2 linked regions of the Drosophila melanogaster genome follow. The protein of the gene in region 1 interacts with the protein of each later gene in a pairwise test. Each region holds a gene or a part of one and is shown on either strand. Other genes may lie near its edges.

Evidence for each region.
Region 2: the proteins of yl (region 1) and Lztr1 interact in a two-hybrid assay, tested with the Drosophila melanogaster proteins (one large-scale study listed by BioGRID).

What each region holds. Positions count from the first base shown.
Region 1 is NC_004354.4:14,191,186-14,199,587, reverse strand, and holds the start of yl (yolkless), read right to left. Parts: upstream 6,375-8,402; 5' UTR 6,210-6,374; coding exon 5,837-6,209; intron 5,576-5,836; coding exon 5,162-5,575; intron 5,091-5,161; coding exon 2,541-5,090; intron 2,479-2,540; coding exon 44-2,478; coding exon of another isoform or gene 2-43; exon of another isoform or gene 1-1. Other genes in the region: CG13403 (uncharacterized protein), read left to right, coding at 7,602-7,709, 7,864-8,232. UniProt on the Drosophila melanogaster protein: Cell surface receptor involved in uptake of vitellogenins (yolk proteins) into developing oocytes by receptor-mediated endocytosis. May also mediate uptake of apolpp/apolipophorins and their incorporation into yolk granules.
Region 2 is NC_004354.4:922,389-929,214, forward strand, and holds Lztr1 (leucine zipper like transcription regulator 1), read right to left. Parts: upstream 5,195-6,826; 5' UTR 5,060-5,194; coding exon 4,308-5,059; intron 4,246-4,307; coding exon 2,830-4,245; intron 2,761-2,829; coding exon 2,585-2,760; intron 2,530-2,584; coding exon 2,351-2,529; intron 2,231-2,350; coding exon 1,826-2,230; coding exon of another isoform or gene 1,757-1,825; 3' UTR 1,217-1,756; intron 1,164-1,216; 3' UTR 501-1,163; downstream 1-500. Other genes in the region: MED22 (mediator complex subunit 22), read left to right, coding at 5,828-5,939, 5,996-6,097, 6,162-6,379; CG3708 (uncharacterized protein), read right to left, coding at 6,508-6,826. UniProt on the Drosophila melanogaster protein: Inhibitor of Ras signaling. Acts as a substrate-specific adapter of a BCR (BTB-CUL3-RBX1) E3 ubiquitin-protein ligase complex that mediates ubiquitination of Ras. Together with Nf1, plays an important role for normal sleep behavior, mainly during the night.

The DNA.
Region 1 (8,402 bases):
GTCACATATCTTCCACGGCCATCTGACCCCCATCGCTACTCACTCTGCTGGGGCTCTCGAGAAGCAATTCCTGAGCCATCGGATCGCCGGACGCCGACTGTCGTGGACGGAGCAGTCGCTGGAGCGCATTCGGCACACTAAACTGCTGAGCCGCGAACGAGGACGTGGCGCTGGTGGTGGTGAATGTGTCGTTGCTGCCGCGGCTGGACACCGTTCCCGTTTCCGTGGTGAAGCCGACTCCCGCCTCGGCGCGTTCGTGCTCCAGGAACGCTTTGGTGCCGCCGAGCGTCGCCAGCGGATTCTGGAAATGCATGTTAATGTTGAGATCCGTGTGGCCGCGCTGCCGGTACTGATAGTACATGTACCCGAGTCCGGCGATCAGTGATCCGGCGGCTAGGACGAACAGTGCCATCAGCCAGTGAAAGTGACCGTTCTGCTCGTGTTCATGTTCCAATTCCAGGCTGTTGACCGCACCCAACACGGCCACCTCATTGCCAGAGCCATGGGGACACCGTTCGCCTTCGGCCACCAGACGATTGCCACACATGCATTCGTAACCGTAGTCCGCCTGCAGGCACAGTCCATGGCAGTGGGCATGGGCGCATGGATGCGACGCCTTCTGCGGCTGACGCGACCTGCCCGCCACCACAATGTCCTGGGCGTTCAGCACGTTAATGCTGATCTTGTGACAGATGCGGGATCCGTACAGTGCGCACTGCACCGCCTCCACGGAGCCCAGGTTCACGATGAACGCATTATTTTCGTACACACTCAGCCCAGATGGATGCATCAGAGCGTTGGACTTTTGCAGCATTATCTCCGGTCGACGCATGGGACCCGTTTTAAGCCTATAGCTAATCCTCTCCAGCGTGCGCATATGCTGGTCCACAAAGTACAATAGCTGCTGATGCGGATCGGTGGTCAGGGCGGTCATGAAGCTTTCGCTTCGCTGCAGCAGCATATCCCTGCGACTGCCGTCCAGTCGAGCCATGTGAATCTCCGAGCTCGTCTGGCCATAGCCCTCGGTGCGTATGACTATGTAGAAGATCCGGGCGTGATAGCCATCCACAGCCAAATGCTTAACGTGCCTGGGACTCTTCACGTGCACAATGCGGCCGCACATGCGTCCCACGAAACTGCACGCTTGGATCTCCTGCGCTCCACTGAGCACATAAACATTTCCGGTGACCCAATCCACGGAGAGTTTCGTCGGTGCGGGCAGACCCAGAGCCCGCACAATCACCTTCGTTTGCAGATCGATCTGATAGACGATGCCCTCGTCCTCGGCGGAAAAGTAACCCATTTGCCGGTGCATGGCCAGATCGAAACCGGTGATCCTCGAATCATTCGCCGACCAGGCCACATTGAGCATAACGGGCTGTTCGCTTAGGTTTCGCACTTCGTTGAAGCTGCTGAAGAGCAGAGTGGCGCCAGACTGCAGGCTCTTGCAGCTAACGCGATCCTGGCGCAGCATAAAGTCCGCATGGCACTGGCACTGATAGCCGCCGAGGGTATTCTCGCATAGCTGAGCGCATGGCTGCTGCTCCTGGCACTCGTCAATGTCTAAACAGCTCTTCTGATCCGCGTCCAGGCGATAGCCATCGAAGCAGGAGCACACGGCGCCGGCTGGTGTGGCGCGGCACTTGTGCTGGCACACCTGGCGACCCGATGCCGAACGGCAGGCGGTGGCGCACTTGGGTCCCTCGTCGTGGCCGTTGGTACAGTCCGGGAAATTGTTGCATACCCGCGACAAGTCCACGCACTCGCCGTCTTGACAATCGAAGAGATGTGGCCGACAGGATCGGCTCGAGGTGCTCCACGGCTGAATTTGGCTCTGATTGTGATGGCCCTTTTCCAGTTCGCAGCTCAACTCGTCACTGCCGTCGCCGCAGTCCTTCTGGCCATCGCAGCGGAACTCCCGCCGGATGCACTCTCGACCGGAGCGGCACTTGAACTCATATATGCTGCACACATCACCGCAATCGGCCTCATCCTCGCCGCGCGGACACTCGGTGGTGCCATTGCAGCGAACCGTAGACGGCAGACAGATCTTGAGATTGCTCGTGCATTGGTATTGATCTTCCGCGCAGGATATGTTCATCGTGGATGAGTCCGTGCCGCAATTCAGTTCGTCGGACTTATCGCCACAGTCGTTGTGGCCATCGCACACCAGACTCCGGTCCAGACACTGACCCAACAGACAGCGCTGCATGTCCGGCGGACAGCTGCGATGGACACACTTGTCGTGCTCGTCGGATCCGTCGCTACAATCGATCCGCCCGTCGCACTCCCAGCTGCCCGCTATGCAGGATCCGCTGCCGCACTGGAACATTCCCGGTTCGCATCGCGATGTCGCCTCGCACAGCAATTCGTCGGAATTATCGCCGCAATCATTGGTTCCATCGCACACCAGGCTCGAGTCCACGCACTTTCCATTGTCGCACCCGTGCTGATGGACATGGCACTTCTTGCTCTTGTCTGTGGAGTAGAGAGAGTATTCAAATTCAAATTATCCACCAAGTGCAGCTCGTTTCGCTTACCGAACTTCTCGCAGTGCTGCTCATCCGAATGGTCGTGGCAATCCTTGCGATTGTCGCATCGCCGCTCCTTGTCGACGCACTGCTCCCCGCTGTGGCAGGCGAATTGGTTGGGCGAGCACAGAACCTTTGGCTTGCGCCGATGCTCCTCGTCGCAGTTCATCTCATCCGAATTGTCCACGCAATCGCGTCGTCCGTTGCAACGGTGATTCATTGTGAGGCACTCGCCACTGTGGCAACGGAACTCACAGTCCAGAGCCTCCACGCAGGTGCGGTTACCCGCATCCCGGTAAACGAATCCGGCCGGACATAGACAGATCGAGTGGTAGGGTCCCTCGCCCACACAGATGTGCGAACAGCCGCCATTCTGCTGCTGGCAGGGATGCGATTCCTGGCCGACGGGTGAGCTGGCGGCCAGCGGAATTCCATTGGGCGTGGCCACAGGCACGTACGGCATAATGGCGGCCGGATCGTCCTTCTCCATTATATCGATCACCTTTCGCGGCCCCATATTGCTCTTGTGCGTCCAGTAAATCCTTGGCGTACCCAATTCATTCCAAAACAGATCGTGATGCACCATGGCCAGGCTATAGGGACGCCTAAGCTTGCCCCGAAAGATTTGGCTGTGCGGCACCCTGTAATTCGAGTAGCTAATCCTGCCCAGATCGCTGTCTGACCAAAAGATCGTTTGGGTCTCGTAATCGGTGACCAGCTTGATATCATCATCGCCCAGATCGTCCTCGAATACATGCACCTGTTCGCCCTTGCCGCTCAGCGGTATCTTGTCAATGTGGCTGTGCCGCTTGGCCTTGAGCACAACATACAGATAGCCCTCCGCGGGCATAACAGTGAGTCCAATTGGCACCTCCTGGCCCGGAAAGAAGCGGATCAGCGCACGATGGCGCGTCTGCAGTGAGAGCACCTCAATCACAGCCCGCTCCGTATCCGCCCAGTATAGATTCCTGCTCAAATGATCGAAGGCCAGGGCACTCACATTGCCCAAATTGGAGCGGACCAGGACGTTGCTCTCGTGCGACTCTGGCTGAAACTCCAGGATCAGTCGCTGGTCATTGTCCGCTATTATCAGGCTGCCATTGATGCGATTGTACACCATTTCGTTGATCAAGCAGGGCAGCGTGTATGACTTGCTCACCTGATGGCGCCCAAAGGCGGTGTGCTCGATCTCGAGCAGCACCTGACCGAGGCCAATGAACAATCGTTGGCGCTTCTCCATTAGCATGCAGCGCCGATGATCCGGCGCCAGCCGCATGCCATCCGGACAGGCGCAGCTGTGACCACCGATTTCGGGTTCGGCCAGCAGGCATAGGTGCGAGCATGTGGCATTTTCGCAACCATGCGGCGAGTTGGGCTGCTTGGCCGGATGATAGATGTGTACGGCGTAAATGGTACGATCCTTGGCCAGGATGCGATGATCCTTGCCGGAGAATTTGTGACACGCATGCACACTCTTCGTTGCCCAATCTGACCAGTACAGCTGATCCTCGAATATGGCCAGGCCATAGGGATGCTTCAGCATGCCGTCCAGCACCGTGCGCCGACCAGTGCCGTCGGGTCGAACCGTTTGCACGCTGCCCAACTTGGCATCCACCCAGTAGATCCTTTGCTGGTGCATGTCCAGCGCAATACCATTGGGCCATTCGATATTATCGCTGACAATCGGTCGCGACCGACTGCCGTCCATGGATGCGCGCCCTATCATGGGCTTCTCACCCCAATCCGTCCAGAACATCAAGCCCTTCTGGGGCCAAACAGCCAGTGATCGCGGCTGGTGAACATCCTGGGTGACCAGAACGGCACAGTTTAGTCCATCGTTCGAGCACACGGCTATGTGCCGCATTATGTTGTCCGAGAAGTAAATGTTCTGCGTCAGCCAATCGACAGCCAGGTCCTCTGGTGCATCCAGGCCGGAGGTCAGCAAAATTTCCGCATTCGAACCGTCTCCGTTAGCCTTCACAATGCTCTCCGCTTCGTTCTGGATGTTGGTCCAATAGATGTGGCTGCCATCGTAGGCCACGCCAATGACCTTGCTCAGATTCCCGGCCACCTGGTAGACATGATTTCGTACGTTATCCTCGCGCAGATGCATTCCCATAATCGTCATCTGGGTGGTGTACAGCAGAAGGGGCTGCTGTTCCTTAGAGCCGTAAACGACTGCGCGACACGTACGATTATCCTTGTCCAGCAGATAGCCCGCATCACAGACGCATCGATATCCGCCCGATGTGTTCTCGCATCCCTGGCTGCACAAATCATCTTGCTCCTTGCACTCGTCAACGTCCTCGCACTTGTCCTCGAATTTAGCCAGCCGGAATCCCTTTGGGCAGAAGCACTCGGCTCCGCTGGCAGGCATCATGTGGCATTTGGCTCCCAGCGCACACTTCTTCGCATCGCAGTCCGGCTTGGAGTGACAGAGGTCGGTCTCATCGCTGCCGTCGGAACAGTCGCTGTGCCCATCGCACACTTCGCTCAGGGTCAGACAGGTTTCTCGGTTCCGGCATAGGAATTTCCCCTTTTGTGGCTCACATAGATTTACTGAAATGATGCCGAGTCGCATGTTTCAAGAGCATCAGGCTTGGAGTATCCAACAAAGAATTTTAACTTACAGCATCCTCGTTCGTCGCTTCCATCGCCGCAATCGTCAACGCCATCGCAGACCCACTGCTTCCGGCGCAAGCACCGTCCGTTGGCGCACAGGTGACCCTCGCCGGGGCAGGTGATCTCCGCCTGCTTGCAGCCAGCCACCTCGTCCGACTTGTCCGTGCAATCCGGCCGGCCGTCGCACATGAAATCAATGGGAATGCAGGTGCGATCCTGCTGGCACATGAACTCGTACTTGCTGCAGCTGCGCATGCGATGAGCGGTGTCACCGAATCGGAATCCTGGCCGCACCGGGCAGTTGAGCTCATCCTCGCCGCCGGGACAGTTGTCGATGCCGTTGCACATTAGTTCCGCTGCCAGGCAGGCTCCGTGTGGCTGGGCACACGGGAACCAATGTGGCGGTCGGCACAGTCGGTAGTCTGGATATCCGGATTGGAATGAAGATTATATGTTATTCAACTACATATAAGATTGTCACAACACGTTTATATATTATTGGATATATTAGTCTCACTAGTAAATTCATTGGAATATGGGGATGTGGCATCTCTAGATAGGATTCCCTAACCATCAAAATTATAGCTAAAGAAATCTGGTTAATCCGACTCCATAGTAGCTATGCCCTCTCCATTTAAAGCCACCCCCTGCTGAACGACGGCATTGATTCCACCCATGCTCACCGCAGTCCAATTCATCCGAGCTGTCCTTGCAGTCTCCGCGTCCGTCGCACATCTTCGCCTGTAAGATGCAGCCGCCGTCTCTGCACTGGAATTGTCCCGCATCGCACCGCGTGTCCGCTGATCCCGGCGTGCCGGCAGCAGTACCACCGCAAAGTCCCACGAGCAGGAGCAGCGAGATTGCCACGTGGCGTCCATTGATGATCAGATGTGTTCGCTGGCAATTTCCGTATCGACTGGACGTTGAGCCACCACTGGATGGGTGAGCGCGTGTCTGCGAGGTTAGGTTGAATCCTCGCCGGCTGGCGGTCATCTTCGGGCTCTCTACCCGGATCCTTTGCTCGCTGGGGTGCACCTGGTGCTCGGCCTGGCACATTTAACACGAAACACACACAATTTGAACGATGATTAACACGCAGGACTGGTTAATTGAAATTAAAACGGGAATGGGAAACAGAAAGTATGGCTTGCAGCTTGGAAAGCTGAAAGCGAATTGAACGAGGAAAACCGTTCGGTTCCAACGGAACACGTCGATCAGGGCAGGGCTTTGGAAAAGCACCGTTATTTCGGAGTGACCAGATGCCAGATGGTTGTACACCGATATAAACCGTTTGGTAATAGTTTAATTGGTATTTAAAACTACATATTTTAAGGCGCCAAATTTGAAAACAGTTTCATCATAAAAGCTCACAGCAATTTATTCCAGTGCATGCCAAATACCGTACCTGGGTGGCAACGCCGTTCGACATCAATTTAAAAACTTGACCATCAAATATCGCAAAAGGATTGCACCAAATACAGCGTGATTAATTGCCCGTTCATGATGTCAGCGGTGTCTGGAAATTTACAAAAAAAAAAACCAAATTATTGCAGTGGGAAACGACGGGATCCGAAACAGAAACCGACACAGAAACATTTACCCATTTGGATGACCCATTGCAACAATTAATAACGGTTATGCCCGCAAGATTTATGAGCAACGACAGATAAACAAGACCGAAGCGTTTTGGCCGCCTCAACCGCCAAATGTCATAAAAAATCAGAGACAAAACCCGAATTGCTGAATTGCTTAGAAACCAGAAGAGCACTCAGAAATTTGTATAATTAAGGAAAAGAGCGAGTGCGAGTTCGAATTCACACGCGGTAGGGGGCGTGCCGCGCTCGTAAAAACAAAACTAACGCGAAGCCAAACCCAAATCTGGGAATACACTGGAAGAAATTAGCAGGTGCAGCTTATATTACATTTAATTTTCTTTACTAAGAATTCGAACATACATATATTTCTGAACAATTATGGAACTAGGGCAACTTACCCATATTACTTTAATGCAGTCGAAATTAAATATTTACAACTTCAATCAAATTTTACTTATTGTATTGTATCATTGTCTTGGTATATTTATTCCAATAAGAAAAAATACTGGCTTAGCACTAGATTTTCTCCGTGTGCATGGACTCCATAAGGCGAACGTGGTTTTTCCACGTCGAGACAATTTGTTGCTTCTATGCCGGATGAGTCGTGGGACATCGAACGAGCCGCGATGACAAGCGAACATGACGAACTTCTCGGAGCATCTGGGACTTCTATGGAGTCTATGGAGACCACTCTGCCGTCCGGTTGCCTGCCACCGCCTGGCCCGTTGAGTAATGGGCCCCGTCCGCCGTCGACATGTCCGTCGCGCCAAGGCGTTAAAATCATCAGTTGTAAAGTATCTGGGGTGCACATCGCGATTTGCGCTTGCCAGCGTATAAAAACTACACTCGGTCGATGGATCAGCAACAGTTGATCGCCAGCGTCCATCCGGTGCATACACAGCTACAGGAATTCCAATCCTCTCAAGCAACACACCGAGCTTACCCAAAAGTTCCCGCAATGGTAAGGGCTCAAGACGAGCGTGATTGAATGCTCCTCCTTGCAAGCAATTTTTTAAATTTTAACATATATTTAGAACAAAGCCTCTTTAAAGCACAACGTTGCATACTTTAAGTGACTCCCAGTGCTTTTTAATCCCACGATTCCTTGTCCGCAGAACTCCGTAACCGTACTCGCCATCTTCGCCGCCTCCTTGGCCTTCTGTGCCGGCGATGTGTCGCATTTGTCGCGCAGCTATCTGCCTCCTTTGAGCGGCGGCTACTCCGGCTACTCCTCCGGTTACTCCTCGTATCCATCGTACTCGAGCGGATCTGGTTATTACTCGGGTGGCGGCAGCTACGCCTCGCCAATCATCTCGTCCAGCTACAAGAACTACGCGGTGCCGCAGTACACAACCTATGCCACGCCATCGCGCACCTATTTGCCCGCGAATGCGGGCTACACCGGCTACTCCGGCTACTCGGGCTACTCCGGCTACAATGGATTGGACACCAAGTACGGCAGCAATGGTGGCTACGTCTACTAGGCGCTAATCAAGTTTTCGGGAGGCCAGCAACAATGGAGCCAGCAGACAAACTATATATTCCTCTAATCTTTTTTTTTTTTCTTGGCTAAGCAATTTTCTTTAATGGCTACTAAATATTTTCGAATACTTAATAACGAATAACGAATTTCATGGCGTATTTATTTGGAGAG
Region 2 (6,826 bases), about 13 Mb from region 1:
AACACGAAGCAGGCTGAACTCCACCTGAGAGGCAGGACTGGGCAAAATAATTTTCCCAGACTCCATGGCAATTCAATTCAATTCGGCTTACTGTCAGTTGTATCTGTAAGTGGCATTTCCATCTCGAAGAGAAGATCCTTCTAACCTGCTGCCGTTGGCATATTTGATTTTGTAATTTGCATTTGATAAGCGGCTCTGAGCAGGACTAACCCCCAAAGTGAAGTCCTTGTCATTGTCCTGGCCTTGGCTACAGTTTCGGCTGGCTTCCCGGGTTCTTGCCACCCCCGTACGGCAGCTCCAACTTGCGGCTGCAGCCTTTGTTTTGTTTTAATTCCATTGAAATACATTTATCTATGCCAAACCAGCTGGGAAAAACGCAGCCCAAAACAATTGGCTCAGTTTGTTTGTCTTGAATTCCATTATTTAGCCACGTTTTTTTGGTAAGCCCACAAAGATTTGCCATTTAACACAGATCAACAGTGCTAGCGTATGTGTATAATAATAATGTTTATTCTGAATTCTCGTCATATAGCAAAGACAGCAACTAAAACAAACGACGAAAAATATAACGAAAATATTCGAAATGAAACCAAAGATTCTTAAATATTGCTTAAACATAGTCACAATGCAATCATAAATAAACTGATTTATCACAATTTCGGAAACAAGAATTAAAATTTATATTCGAAGTCGAAAGAACTTCCGGCAAATCAGTAAAAACACAACGCTATAGTAAATTCAAACAATCGTAAACAAATTTGGCGATTTTTCACGTGGATGATGTGTCAGATGCTTTAATGGTTCCTTAGCTTATAACATTCAGTTTCATATATATATATATATATATATATATAGTTAAATACCAATTAAAACGAGTAGATTTAGATCTATATCAACTAGTAAGTTGTACTTGGGTATTAGTATAACATGAAGGGAAGACCCTCGGACTTCGGAGACTATAAGCCTATGACCCTTGCAAAATAAGTTAGTCTGCATTCCAAATGTTAGTATTATGAAATGTTTAGACATTCGGTTTTCGACTACAAAGCAGTTTTACGCAAGCTAGTTTTGCAAGGGTATTCAAATTTGTATATTTCCAACATATACAACTTTGTAAGGACCTAGAGTAGGATTCATCAGGTTAAAGCAAGGGTGCGTTCAATCTGAAAAAATATATAAGTGAAGGTTTCGGCTTTCAAAGTGTTCCCACACTCACCTTCGTGATTTAAGGTCCATTCGGTCCTTAAATCTCTTGGAGCAAAGACTGTGTACCTCCCTGACTGCAAAGTTCACTTCTAGATGCTTAAGTGGGAAAATTGGTATCCAAATGGTAAACTGCAACTATAAGGTTTAAAGATCAAGTGTTTTAACAAAACCTATAGTTTCGAGACAGAGAAGCCCAATACGATCTTATTTGAACCGATTGGAGGTGCATTCTTGGTTAATACTGAGTGCATATAGAGGGTTTATATATATGAGGCAGCATGCGCGATGCAAACTCTGCAGTAATTCACTCAAAGCGCGCCTGCTGGTGGCTTGTCCATCGCTCGCCTCATTTAAGAACAATAGCCATACCGTAGGTTTTCTGCATGAGTCGCGATCGCTTCGTCTCTCTCTTTCTGATGCAATATCTCAATGGGGTCGGGGTCTGTCGAGAATCGCTGACCAGATGCATGGGTGCGGCGATCGATGGGAGATGAATCGTTTAATGATAAATAAATTATGTGATTCGGCGCTGCCAACCGCTACTGCCGCATTACGTGCTACGTCCGATTTGCAACCAGGCGAGCAACAACTGCAATGCCGGCTGGAGCAGCACCAGTTTTCAGATATCTGTATTGATATTGATCCGCGTGAGAAACTCGCCGTGCGAATCGGCCACAGCGCGTATGATCTCCAGCAACAGTTCGCGCGACAAGCCGGCTATTTTCGGCAGCCTTGCGACCTTCGCAAAGTCCTTGACGATCAGCTTGAGAGCGTACTCCTTAATATCATAGATCTTTGTGATGTCTGAAGCCTCCAGCGTCTGCAGCACGTTCTCGAACGTAATGTTGTGCTCAAGAGAGTATTTGCAGAATGCGTGAAGCCGATTGTTGGCAAGGCCATAGAAGCACGGCGCCTGGAAGAGATAAAGTGCATCCTGCGGCGGCATCTTCGTCTCGCCGTAGTAGATGTAGCGCAGCAGGGAGTGGAACGCCTCAAGCGAGGGAGAAATCTCTCCAATTTGGATCTGGGTGAGAGCGGAATTGAATGTTACTCAGGATCAATACTGGCTTCAACAATTTAAATGTGTATACTATTATCACGGGAACTACTTATCAATCAGCGATTTCTACAAAGTTCAACTCACATTGACTGTGTTGTCCGGTGGCATAAAGGATCGGAACATGCCCTGAAAGTAGGTGCAGCGCGATGACAACACAGATTTGTGGGCTGGTATCACATGATCTTCTAGCACCAGGCTAATGTCGCAGAAATCTTTGCCAGTGGACTCCAAAAAGGCACACAGATCGATCTCCAAAGTGGTTCCTAATCAAAAATTATACCTTCAGCTACCAATTTGTCAACTATCGACGAACCGTACCTATATTGCCTTCATAGCTGGTATCTATCACCAGCTTGCTGGGATACAGGCGCTTGCGGATGATCTCGACCAGCAGAGGCTTGTCCAAATCGCTAAACTCACTGGACATGACCACGTCAGTGAAGTTCTCCTCCTTGATGATGAACTGCATGCAGTGATCCTTAATGATCTTAATACTGTGTTGGGGAGTGTTTACATAAATTAGTTTCATTTAAATACGATCCAAAGGCTATATCTGCTCTCACTTGCTCTTATCCGCATTGTAGAGCGCCTCCAGCACGTTAAGCTTGTTAATCTTGTAGTCCAAATACTGGATACAGCCGTGGGCCAGCCGCGGCATGGTAAACAAACCGGCAAGTTGGTAAATATCTGTGATCAGAATGATGATGTTCTTGCTGTAAGTGTCCTTCAAGTCAATTCGATCGGTGTAAATGTAATTCAATATGATTTCAAAGGCCTCGGGGGAGGCGTTGGCCAGTCGCACCTCCAACATGGGTCCGCGGTCCCCGCCCGCGCCCGCATTCAGAGCCAGTGCATCTACCTGGCCCACCCCGTAGACCTTCTCCATCTGCTGCTGGCGTGCCTCCCGGGCTGCCAAAATCTTGTTCCTCAGATACTTCGAGCGCGCCGCCACAAAGGCGATGTGTGCTAGTATGCGAATCTCCTCCGCTCCGACAATAAACTGAATGTCGCAGAACTGTTTGTCCTGGAAGAATTTTCCGAAGTCATCGCGCAGCGTGCACTTCGGGTACGACGAGAACTGGAAGCGATAGGTGTCGCCCCTTCTCACACTATTGTCCACGGTTCCGCCAAATATGTACATGGCATCGCAGATGACTGCCGAGGCATGGAACACTCTACCCGAAGGCACATCCGAATTCTGTTCAGGCTGGATGACGGACCAGACCTGCGAGTCTAGATCGTAGCAGTGTAAATCGTTGGGCAGCGTTGAGTCCGCCGATCCCCCGAAGACATACAGGAACCGATCGTGATGCACCATCGTGTGGCCATATCGTCGCGAGGGCGGAGCTGAGGTAGCGCCTCGCAAGACGGGCTCATTGGAAATGCGTCGCCAAGTTCGCGTCTTGAAGTGGAACTCAAAGAGCGAGTTCGTTATCTGCAAGCCACTCTGCCCCGAAAAGACGTACATGGCGTCCCTGGCCACTGCCACGGGGAAATTGCAGCACGTGGGCGGACGATCGCCCAGCTGATCCACCTCCTCCCACTGATTTTCACCGGTGAGGTTTAGCGTCCACATGTCGTTCAGCCGAGCATTGCCATCGTAGCCCGCATAGATCCACATTTTGTTGTCATACACGGCTGCTCCGTGAGCGGATCGAGGAACCGGCTGGCGTCCGGAGAACTTCCATTCCACCCACATGGCGCTCTGGAACTTGTATTCGAACAGATCGTTCTTGTTGGTCAAGTTTGAGTTGGAGTGAATGTCGCCGGTGTAACCCCCAAAGATGAACATAGAGCTGCCGGCCACCACCGCCGAGTGGTGGTATCGCGGAGCAGGCGGAGTTCCTGTTGCACATGCGCGGCCCCATGACTTGTCCTTAACGCCGAAGCGAATCAGGTCGTTTAGCATGTTCTTGCCGTTGTCACCTCCGAATACAAACATCGCATCCTTGTAGGCCACCACTGTGTGCTTGCTTCGCCTGATTGGGAAGAAAGGGATAGGGAATATAGATATTTTCATCTATATGGCTTCACAACTCACTTGGCGCCCACGAACTCGGCGCATTCGAGCATCCTGGTCCACTGATGCGTGGCCGTGTAGGAGGTGAAGTCCACGTTCAGGGCATTGCAGCTGTAGCTACCCGGGGAAGTGGCCTTTCCGCTTCCACTGCCACTTCCACTGCTGGCATTGCTTGCCGCGTCATATGCCATACTACATCCCGATCCTCCTGGTCCGCTGCTGCAGCTGCTGCCCGGAGGATGCGAGGAGGAGGCCGCTCCACCACCGCCATTCCCTCTAGAGCTTCTCATTGAACTGGACATGGACATTCGGAGATTCGCCCGTATGTGCTGGGCGTCTAAGCAGCCGGCGGTGGAGGCGCTTTTCCTGGCCTTGTTCCGTTTGCTCGACTTGAAGGAGCTGCGCAAGAAGAAACTCTCGTGGTGCGGACTCGAATTCTGGCTGGGACTCTGCTGATTGGCAGCTGCCATACAAGCGGGGCAATAAAGGATCCCGGCAGGAGTGCTGCCACCGCTGATGTTGGCTAATCCTCTGTCCCTGTCGCGATCCCGCTCAAATCCACCTCCGCCACTAGCTCCGGTCACAAATCCGCACACCGCACTCAATCCACTGGAAATCGAACTGGAGCCCAGCCCACAGCTAGCGCGCCCGCTTCCGCTGGTACTCCTGCTCCCAGAGGCGCTTCCTCCTGCTCCACCTCCTCCGCAGCCTCCTCCGCCACCACCTCGTTCCGTGGATGCCACGCCAACGCCTCCGCTGATCGACTTTAGCATTAATTCATCACACGCCGGAAGGATCCTCCGTCGTCCTCGTTGTGGGTAATCGTGCTCCGGTTTTCACAAATTCCAGATTTTATATGCAATTGTATACATTCGCAGCTTAACTCGTAGCTGTTATCGGCTATCGATAACGCAACAGTATAGCCATGGTATTTGGTATATTTCACACTGTTCGCTATAGTTCACACACATACACTCTCGCACGGAAGATTTAACTGAACCGAACCATTATAACGGTAGAAACTGTTAACTTTACTTTTCCAATAAAGAACTTGGAATTTAACTTAAAACTAAATGTTCCTTAGCATTGCCGCGTGGCGCCCACTTGAAATGGGTTCAATGTGGGGCAGGCGTGTCTCTTTGCCCATTCTTTTTAAATTTTTAAAATTGTGTGCAGACTCACCACGTTCTGGTGGCATTAGCGGCCGACGAGAATTTCGTCGCTGACTTCGTAGTTCATTTTGTTGGCTTGCATTTAAAGACGCCATCGAACGTAGGATATTTAAGCACAAACACAATTATTACGATTTTAACCAACCGCTTAACCAGAAAACTGAACTTTTTGTGACGCTTTGCAGTTGGCGGGCGGCATGTCTTTGGTATATAATGTGTGTCAAATGAATTTGCGTCAAGTTGGCGTCGGTGAGTTAGGACGGTATTTATGGTCGGAAAATACGTGGTCACACTGTACATATAAAAAACGACGAGAAGCGGGTTTGTCTAAAATAAATTGTTGAACTAAGTTAAGGTAGAATTAGGACAATGGCCAGCGGATCCAGGACAACCATTTTGCCCCAGTCGAAGGAGGCGCTTCTGAAGTCCTATAATGCGCGCCTCAAGGACGACGTTCGCAGCATGCTGGAGAATTTTGAAGGTAAGTGCGGCTCAGTTGCTCCGAGCAATAGATTGTAATACCGTGTTCTCCTCCAGAAATACTCAAGCTGGCGCGCCGTGAGAGCCACAGCCAGATTTCGAAGACCACGCAGTGCGAACAGGATGCCCTGGAAATGCAGGTCCGCGCGGCCAACATGGGTGAGTAAATCCACTCCCTGGGAACCAGATTCGAGCCATTTCCTTCATGCATTCCGCTTTATAGTCCGTGCCGGCGAGTCTCTGATGAAGCTGGTGGCCGACCTAAAACAGTACCTAATCCTCAACGACTTTCACTCGGTCAACGAGGCCATCACAAACAATTCGCAGCTGTTCAGGAACACACAGAGCGAGTGCGACAAGAAGCTGATGAAACTTAGGGACGAAATGGCCATGGACTTGTACGACCTGGAGGAGGAGTACTACACCAGCATTTTTAAGTAGCGCTAGGAGGGGAAGGGGTTCACCTTATTTGTGATGAACTGGCTTTGGCCGAACTGTAGAATTTAATAAGAAATCATTACCACATTCACTTGTAAATTTTGTTTAGCAAACAGCTAGTCGCGTCGCACTCACAAGACCTGCTCCTGTTCCGCCTCCGAGGACAAGGAGCGACTGTCCGGAGAGGCCGCGCTCAGGCTGTCAACTAGGTCGCCCGTGTAAAAGAGCACCGCCTTCGGGACGATTTGGGTGCGTAGCAGGAAGCCCACTTCGAAATCGTTGCCAAGGATCAGCTTGGTCTTTTCATCCGCGAGCGACAGGTCCAAGGCCTGCGGCGGAGCAAAGAAGCGAAAGAAGGACTCCCGAGGCATGACCTTGGTGACTCGGTGTGCTCTGTTCCTTCGCCTGCTTTCCACCGTTTGGAGAGTGAGATTGGAGCCATCGCGCCAG